Daphnia pulex: one gene and its partner. The protein of the gene in region 2 interacts with the protein of the main gene of each other region in a biochemical or structural test. Links are inferred from orthologs where the notes say so. Each region holds a gene or a part of one and is shown on either strand. Other genes may lie near its edges.

The links.
Region 1: of the proteins of cdc42 homolog (region 2) and rho GTPase-activating protein 32-like, one has a biochemical effect on the other in vitro, tested with the Homo sapiens proteins (3 studies listed by BioGRID). The link is inferred for Daphnia pulex from reciprocal best matches to the Homo sapiens genes CDC42 and ARHGAP32.

What each region holds. Positions count from the first base shown.
Region 1 is NC_060021.1:6,609,020-6,613,250, forward strand, and holds part of rho GTPase-activating protein 32-like, read right to left. Parts: intron 2,331-4,231; coding exon 2,218-2,330; intron 2,099-2,217; coding exon 1,996-2,098; intron 1,582-1,995; coding exon 1,386-1,581; intron 1,274-1,385; coding exon 1,094-1,273; intron 991-1,093; coding exon 18-990; intron 1-17. UniProt on the Homo sapiens protein: GTPase-activating protein (GAP) promoting GTP hydrolysis on RHOA, CDC42 and RAC1 small GTPases. May be involved in the differentiation of neuronal cells during the formation of neurite extensions.
Region 2 is NC_060017.1:3,183,551-3,187,971, forward strand, and holds cdc42 homolog, read right to left. Parts: upstream 2,352-4,421; 5' UTR 2,197-2,351; intron 1,993-2,196; 5' UTR 1,974-1,992; coding exon 1,869-1,973; intron 1,807-1,868; coding exon 1,734-1,806; intron 1,653-1,733; coding exon 1,543-1,652; intron 1,484-1,542; coding exon 1,286-1,483; intron 1,214-1,285; coding exon 1,124-1,213; 3' UTR 660-1,123; downstream 1-659. Other genes in the region: nucleolar pre-ribosomal-associated protein 1-like, read left to right, coding at 2,960-2,989, 3,063-3,284, 3,354-3,881. UniProt on the Homo sapiens protein: Plasma membrane-associated small GTPase which cycles between an active GTP-bound and an inactive GDP-bound state. In active state binds to a variety of effector proteins to regulate cellular responses. Involved in epithelial cell polarization processes.

The sequences.
Region 1 (4,231 bases), on a different chromosome or scaffold from region 2:
AGGAGAGAGAAATTTACTTTTGGTTCCGGATTTTGAGATCTCAGCGTAAATGGCGTCGTTGGACTGTCCTGGCTGACGTGCGCTGGCTTCTGGACTGGCGTCGCCCTCCTCGTCCAGCGGATCGACTTGCATGCTGCCCGTCCGGCTGGTCATGAGCAGGCGGAAGTACGAGTCGTGAGAGACGGAGCGGTTGTGACAGCGGGACAGCGACCCGTCTTGAATCGACTCGTCATCGCCGTCGCCGGCCAATCGCACAGCCGAATCTTCGCCATCCCTCAGCGGTGACGGGCCGCTGCTGCGCTCTGACTGATGATCGGCCGGTTTGGCGGTGATGAGGGCTACTGCCTCGGCTGGACTCGTCAGTTGGCTGGACTCGCCGGCCGACGAGTTGCGGTTGGAAGCCACAAGAGATTCGGCGCTCTTGACGGGTCTCAATCTCGGCCGGACGTACGTCATGGCCCGTTGCGGAGTTGCAGACGAGCAAGAGCCGCCAGATCCAGCCACCTGGGCCGGCATGCTGACGGTGGAGCTGGTGCTGGCAGATGAGTTCTTGCGCTGGGCCTTGTTGGCGGAAGGCGAGCGGCCCTTGCTGGGCTTGGCGAAAAGTGATTTCCAGCCGAGCGGCGATTTCTTGTGCTTGAGGCTGTGGCCGCGCTTGCTGCGAGCGTCACCGTTGGGTAGCTCGATGACCGTGTGATACTTTGGCGGAAGCGAGGCTGGCCCACCGCCCACCTCAATGTACTGCGTGTCATTCTGACTGCTGGCCAGTTGCAGGGCCCGGTTGCGAGCTTCTTCCAGCGAGAGGAGCTTAGTCGGCGTCGAGATGGCCAGCGATTTGGGTCGGGTCCTCTTCAAGGCTCCGCCGCCGCCGACGCTGCTCGGCTGCTCGTCGCTGCTGAGCTGGACGGGGATGGCCGGCACCTTATCGCTGAAGATCAAATCGACGTACCGTACCAGACATTCCGTCACTACCGCTTGCACGCCCACTCCCTGCGTACAAAACATCCAAGACCAGATGCACAAAAAAGTGTTAGAGGCCCAACGGCCCGGGTTCCAGCCTTGCCTCTTTTTGTTTATTTTCTCTGTCACATACCTGAAGTGCAGCAACGCCACCAAATTCCAGTTCTTTGCAACGCAGCAAATTCGGCGCCCATACAATGGCCACATTCTTGGCCGTCATGCCCGTCGAGGCATTATTTTCTGCCACCCGCGCCAAATGTCGAGTCAAGTACTCGAGCGTGCGGAAATGAGGCGGCGGCAGTTGCTGGACCACCTGCGCAATGGGCGAATTGATTTTCGGATCAAAGAGATAAAAATGAGTTGAAATGCGGGTGAAACGAAAAATCGATGGGGCTTATTATTCGATTTGGTTTCAGGTTCCTTACCTCGCGCATTCGAACCACTCTGAGATGATCAGGTCCCTGGACGGCGTTGACGAACTGGTCGTAGAGCTGGTAGGTGCACAGCGGGTTGGGCAGTTCGCGGAAATACATTTTGAGCAGCGAGGAAACGGCGTGCATATCCTGTCGGATGGCCTCGTCCTCCACCAGAGCCGGCACCCTGTCCTCGTCAAAAGCATTTCTAAGTGGATAACCAAAAAAGAAAATAAAAAAAATAAAAATGACGGACAGAAAATAATTTAGAAAGTTTTTTTCCAGCCAGTCGAGAGTGCAAAACGGGAGCTGTCATGTCACACAATTGAAGGGGGGGAATCAAAATGGAGAAATATTTTTCGCGGGACAAAAAAAGGAACTTGCGTCACACGCTATCAGGTCATCAGCATGTCGAGAAACAGGTTTCTTTCTTATCGGACATGTTTTTTTCCATTTCTTTACCGTCGAGATTTCCCTCTGTGCACACAAAACGCAATCCATCTGGAGGCGCTCCTCCCCATCAAATGGGTAAATTGCGGGGTAGTCAAAACGAAGCGGAGCGGGATTGATTTGAAAAAATTGGTCGGGGGAGATAGAAAAAAAGCAATTGACGGCAATTCACCTGAGCTTTTGGATGTTGGAGGTGATGCCCGACAATCGATAAATGCCGTCGACGATGCCGTACTCCTCGATGAACTCGGCGCAGCATTTCAACACCATCGGAACTGGGGTAGAGCAACACACGCACAAAACGGATCACGATGATGAAATTGAGACATTTATGGGCTCGATTATTTATTTAAAAATGATTTGAAAATACAAAAAACAAGTAAAAGAGACTTACTCTCACGTCCCGAATTGAGCAAATGTTCGCCCAGGTCGCAGCCGAAAACGCGCTCCTTCAAGATGCCCGACTGCTTCAGTTTACGGCGAGACGGCCTCGATAAGATGAAACTCCTGTTTTTGGTTTTTTTGTTTTTCGTGAGCCAATCGGGGATAAAACAAACAAGATTAAGTTTCGAGACGAAAAGAAAACAGGAAAAAGAAACACACAGACACAAACACGAAAAACCAAAGCAAAAACACTACCTGCCCATTTCTAAATCGGTATCTCTTTTTCACACCATTTTCGAACCGACTGTCGTGAGTTATCGACACCCGTCACACGAAAATCACTAACTCGCCTTTTTTTTTCGTTTTTTCCCGAATGAAAATGTTGTCACAAGGTTATTTGTTTTTAAAAATTTAGGGTGGGAAATGTTCGATGCGCACTTGAAAGGCACGCGCAGTTTCGTAGAGAAGAAGAGCTACGGCACACGAGTTCCGACACTGGTTAGCACCGGGTGTCGACTGCGTGAATGTTAGCCAGACGCGCTTGACCTTATCTTTTACACACACTCTCACGTCCAATATAGGCGCTGGCATTCATCTTTTTCTCTCTCTCTTTCGTTCTCTCTTCCTTTTTCTGCGTTTAAAAAATAAGAAAAAAGAGAAAAAGTGGTGCCCAACCCACAAATCGCTCCTTTCAAACAAACGTCTTAAAAATATAAAAAATAAAATCCAGCAGCGTCGTGAAGAAGAAGAAGAAAAGAAAAGAAACCTTCGGGGTATCGCACGCGACGGGTTCAAAGGTGTTGAAAGACGATGATGAACGGTGCACAAAAAAACGAAACGAAACGAGTTTGTAGGGAAATTAGCAAAAGAGGGAAGGGACCGCAACAACATCAACAACAATTTAGAAAAAAAGGCGACAACTAAGAAGGGATTCACTTAACGATGCAGTTTGGAAGGAGACACACACAAAAGTCCACCGTCGCGCAAGCCGTCAACTCGGTGACTGATTCCGCGCAGCAGTACTTTTTTTCTGTGTGGGGAATCATCATCATAATCATAAAAAGAATGAACGAACGAAAGAGAAAGACTTTTTTTTTTTTCCACAATAGGGCGGGGTTTTGATGGAAAGAAAAAAACCCACAAGGAAGGCGGTTTGGACAGCGAGTAAAACATTTCTCTCTCTATATCTCTCCTCCTCGCTGGCTCGATCGTCTAATATTGTTTTATTTGATTCTCTTTTCTATTATTTGGCTTTTTCCCATTTCTTTCATTCCGTTTTCTACTATGTGTGCAGCACGCCGAAAAGAAATTTCACTCGGGCTCGGTCACGGACCGATAACTGCCACCTGGCGGGTTGTTGTTGTTGCGTTGTTTTTTTTTTTTTTTTTTTTTTTTTCTCCCGTTGGCGCGTCCTACTCGTCGAGTGGCAACCGGATCGCAGTCATCAAAGACTCGTTATCGATTTGACAAGTTCTCTGACTCGAGTCGACTCGTTTCTCCTGGCAGCTTTGAACATGTGAACAAATAAATACAACACGACATGGCCGGACTGGGCTGCCGACTATAGCGGGGATATGGGGTAACGAATGGGTGATGGGCCATGAAAAACAGGAAAAATATCAACGCATCCGGTATAGAAAACGCCAAATAGAAAAATTCTCTCTCTCTCGCTTTCCATTCTGTCCATCTAAACGAAAAAAACTTGATAATAATAACAAGGATCGGCCTCTTTTTCCTTTTTGAAATAAAATTAAAATACGACAAGTACAAGTAGTAGCCGGATGAGTTCCGGAAACCCGAGAATCAACCAAGGTAATGTGAGAAGACGTAATGTCGTAAGAGAGAGAGAAAACACCAACAACAACAACAACAATAAATACAACGGTCGGTGGTGGTTGGCGGTTGGAAAAGGAGGGACTATCCATCCACTGCGCGCGCTGGATTGTAGGTAACAAAAAAAAAAAAGAATTGGCCTTGGATTGCCGAGCAAACGAAGGCCACTACTACCCCCGCAGACTGACGGA
Region 2 (4,421 bases):
ATGAAAAAAGTAAAATTAATATATTTGGTTAAAATCACGGATTTATAATCTAAATTTTTATGCTTGCCTTGATTGATGATGATCATATCTTTTGTTGCTAAAAATTGTTGCTAAATAAATATAAATCACAATTATTTTCAACGGATTTTCCGATGTCTTTATAAATTCCGAGAAGAATTTGCATAAAAATTCAGCCGGTTATTGAAAAAAATTTACTTAAGTTGTAATATACAGTAAAAATAAAAACCTTTGGGGAGAGTAGTTAAAAAAAAATTCATTTCGCTGTCGCTGAACGACAGCTTATCAAAAACATGTGATAAAGTTCTATATTAGTTCATACCAACCAGGACTTTTAAAATTGAACTCGTTTTTCGTTTGTAGTAGATTAAAAACTGCTGATACACAAATAAATGACGTCAATGAGCAAATGAGTTGCTAACCAACCGGCAAAACTATTTATCAATGTATGATATGCGCAAGTGCCATACGCAATCTTACTTTCACATCTGTTCCAGCGATCCTAAGCGTCAAAAGTCAAATTCAATCAAATGTTTTACTTATATTAATAAAAATAGTAGCAGATTAGCCATAACATTGCGACGACGCAATCGTCCAATGTAGCGACAATTCTGAACTGACCAGCATTAATAACTGCAAGGTATAAGAGAAAATTTTATTGTATATTCTCTCCTATGCCATACAGACAAGTTTTGCGATGAGGATTACAATGATGAGGCCAAAGTTCTTTTGTTATGCTTACTTCTTTTTTTATGAACAAAGAAAGAGAGGAGAAAGGAAGGAGAGCAACAGAACAGGTATGTGTTATTTCCTAGATCGAGAAGGTAGAGGATGAATGAAAAGAAGATTGGAAGAGCGCGGCAAATGGCCTGCGAAACACGCGCACGCACACACAAAATAATCGAAACGATAATGACACGTTGAAACTGGTTAATGCAAGAACTGGCAAAAAGAACGTATCATCAGTATTTTGCTTTTCCATCTTCTCGTTGAATAATTCCATTGGTTAGTAGCAAGGTGTCATTTAAGAGTGTTTTTTTTTAGCTCTCCTTATTTTATATAAAGGAAATTTTATTTTGCCTGTTTTGCTGTCAATTTGTCTTGCTCACAGAATATTACACCTCCTCTTTTTGATAGGCTCAGGAGGTTCCAGTGCTGCCAAAATGGCTTCGTCAAAGACGTTCTTCAACCCTTTCTGCGAGAGACATAATCCAACAACCATGTTACCTATTTGCGACTATGGAGAAACAGAATTTGCTCGACTTACCTGAGTGAGGGCAGAGCACTCCACGTATTTCACTGCTTTCAGTTCGCGAGCTAGCTTCTCTCCCTGGTCGATAGTGATCACTCTTTGCTTATTTTTTGCCAACTTCTCTACAGTTGCCGCGTCGTCTCGCAGATCGATCTGCGTTCCAACTAACAAGAAAGGTGTCTTCTGACAGTGGTGTGTAATTTCAGGAACCCACTACAAAACAGGAGTGCATTAGTTTGCAGTTTTTTAATGATTGAGCTACTAATATTAACCTTTTCTTTGACATTTTCAAATGACGACGGTGAGACAACAGAAAAACACACCAAGAACACATCAGTCTGTGGATAACTAAGTGGTCTTAATCTGTCATAATCTTCTTGACCTGTTGTCATAAAATTAAGGAAATATTGTTAAGTAACAATGAAAAAAAATATATATAAATGAAGTAGAAAGGAATTCACACCTGCTGTATCAAACAACCCAAGAGTGTAAGGTTCACCTCCAATCATAACAGTGACAGCATAATTGTCAAATACCTAAAAAATGTCAAATAGCTGTTAGAAATAACATCTTGAGAGAGTATCACATGATAGCTTACTGTTGGAACATATTCTGACGGGAACTTGTTGGTGGTGTAAGAAATCAGAAGACAAGTTTTACCCACTGCACCATCCCCCACAACAACACACTTGATGGTCTGCATTGCTCCTTCCTGTCAGACTCTAAAATGAAAGGGAATAGATAACATTAATGAAATGGCTTACACAAAATTAGCAGATCACAACGAGATAAGCGGGCGAAACGAAACTATTCGACAGCCATTTTGATAGATAGGACGCTGGGCGAAAACACACACATAAAAGTGGAGTAAGACTTTGGTTTAAACCGGTCAATGAATAGAACCTCAAATCACTTTATTCACTTACGATCAATATCTTGAAATGTAGTATCAGCACAATTTGCTGAAAAATATTTAATATCCAAAAAAAAGCGGTTGTGGAAGTGACACTTGGAGAATATCAAGGCGTGAACGTCCCTGGTGCAACGTTGCCACTTGTCAGAAAATATTTCAGGACGCCACCGCTTCAACCGCAAGCAGAGCTATAGATACCTGGTCAGTTCATGGCTGTGTTGGCTTCCCTATCCCGGTTTCAGGGTAAACGTAAGCCGATTTTCAGGGGGTTTTAGGGCGGAGCCTGTCAGAAGTTGTGAAGTGGAAACTTTAAAAAGAGCCATCTAGTGATAAGACGTTGAGTTTCAAATAATACTTTCGGCGGCCATTTTTGTGTATTACGTGAAAGAAGCCTAACCATAATTTATGTAAAAATGGTTGGCAGGTGTGCTGTTCCTGGTTGTAAATCAACATATTACAAAGGAAATCAAAAAGAAAATGAGGTTACCCTGTTTGCAATTCCTAAAACTTCATTATCAAAATGGCAAGAAGTAATTCCATGTAGTAATTTGACGAGCACCTCACATATTTGCTCCCGTCATTTTAACGAAAGTGACTTTCAAACAGGGATTGAAATTTTGAACGTGTTCCATCCTTACAAACGGTGGACTCTTAATGCTGGAGCAATGCCCTGGAAACCAAAATTTTCTGTTAAATGTTAAAACCACCAAAGCTGTCCAATCATTGCATTATTTCTTGCCAAAGCTGCAGCCATCGTTCAAGATCCTTCTCACCCAATGTACCGTGCAATCAATAACTTTCTACTGGTATGTTCCTGTTAATTGATTGCAATTTCCTTCTCGTTTAAAACTTAAACGCCATTCCTTTCATTGTTTCTAGGTAAAATCGGCTATGGATGTTACCCAAGTTCCAGAATTTTTCGTCATGCTTCATAACACTGAACTACCTGAACAGAGGTCGCTTCAAAGGAGTTTTTTACTCAGCCTTCTTCAAGATGGCATCAAAAGTCGTCAGGACTATTTAGTGTGTGCTCGAAGAAGAGTCTTTCCAATCCTTCTCTCCTTGCAGCCATCCAATCTATTGTCCGACAAAACTGATAAGGTTATTTTTTTAGTAATTGAATTTTAGTTTGAGATTTCATCGAGACATTTTTCTTTGTTTGATTTACAGCGGCTCATACTTGAAGTCGTACAATCTTCACTTCAGAATTCAATCATTACCTATGACTTGATTCAACATCGTGGCCTTATCATGTGGCTTGACAGCCTCTTGCTGACCGACACCGTTGCAGATGAAGCTAGTCAGATGGTGTCGGTGGTGACGACAATGTGGGACACGCTCTACACTCACATGCTGAAGAAGGGAGAGTCGAAAGAAAAGGACGACGAAGAAGCTATTGCAAAACTTGAACAGGAGGTCGAAATGATGGAAGCCGAAGACGAAGATACCGCCGACAAAACCACTAACAAACCCAAGATGCAGAATGCTAAAATCAGTAGCAGAAAACCTATTTGGAATTTACTTCCTATGCAGCAACAAGTTATTGCTCCCTGGATCATGTGTGAGCTAATGCAGTTGATGGTCAATTTGTGGCATGTACTCTATGAAGCTGAGCCAAACTATGCTACGTTTAACAAATACGCCCGAGTATTATGCTCCGTCGCTTCACACATTCACGAATCCAAAAGCATCATTTAAGCAGCTCAGGAGAAGGATTTGAAGACCGTCCGGTTTGTTACCCCTCCCTGCATGCTGAATGTTAAATTGATGCGACAGCTCGTTGAAGTCTCATCCCGCTTTGTGAGTAATCTTCCCAATCTAAAGGATCATTTGGCAGTAGTTGAAAGTTCCAAAAAGAAATCCTCGGCTTGCCCAACAGAACTTAGTCGAAACTGGGAACGAAGACACAGGTATATGCGAGAACTTATGGACCAAGAAGAGACGAATGTTTCAACCAGATATAATGTGCACAAATTATTGTCTTTAGCTGAATGTGGTGTTTGAAATAACAATGACAATTTTGTTTGCATACAAGGAGAACCTCGTGATACGATTTCTTTTATTTTTCATATCCACTACAGCATATCTTTGCCATTTGATGTACATATTTCTTTCCCACTATAACGCAGCCAACTTAAAATTTCTAGACGGGTTGTTTAAGGAGAGTGGTGTAACGTTCAATCTTTGATGCCAAACTCATGTCGATGTAGCGATCTCCAAGGACAACTACAAGTCCTC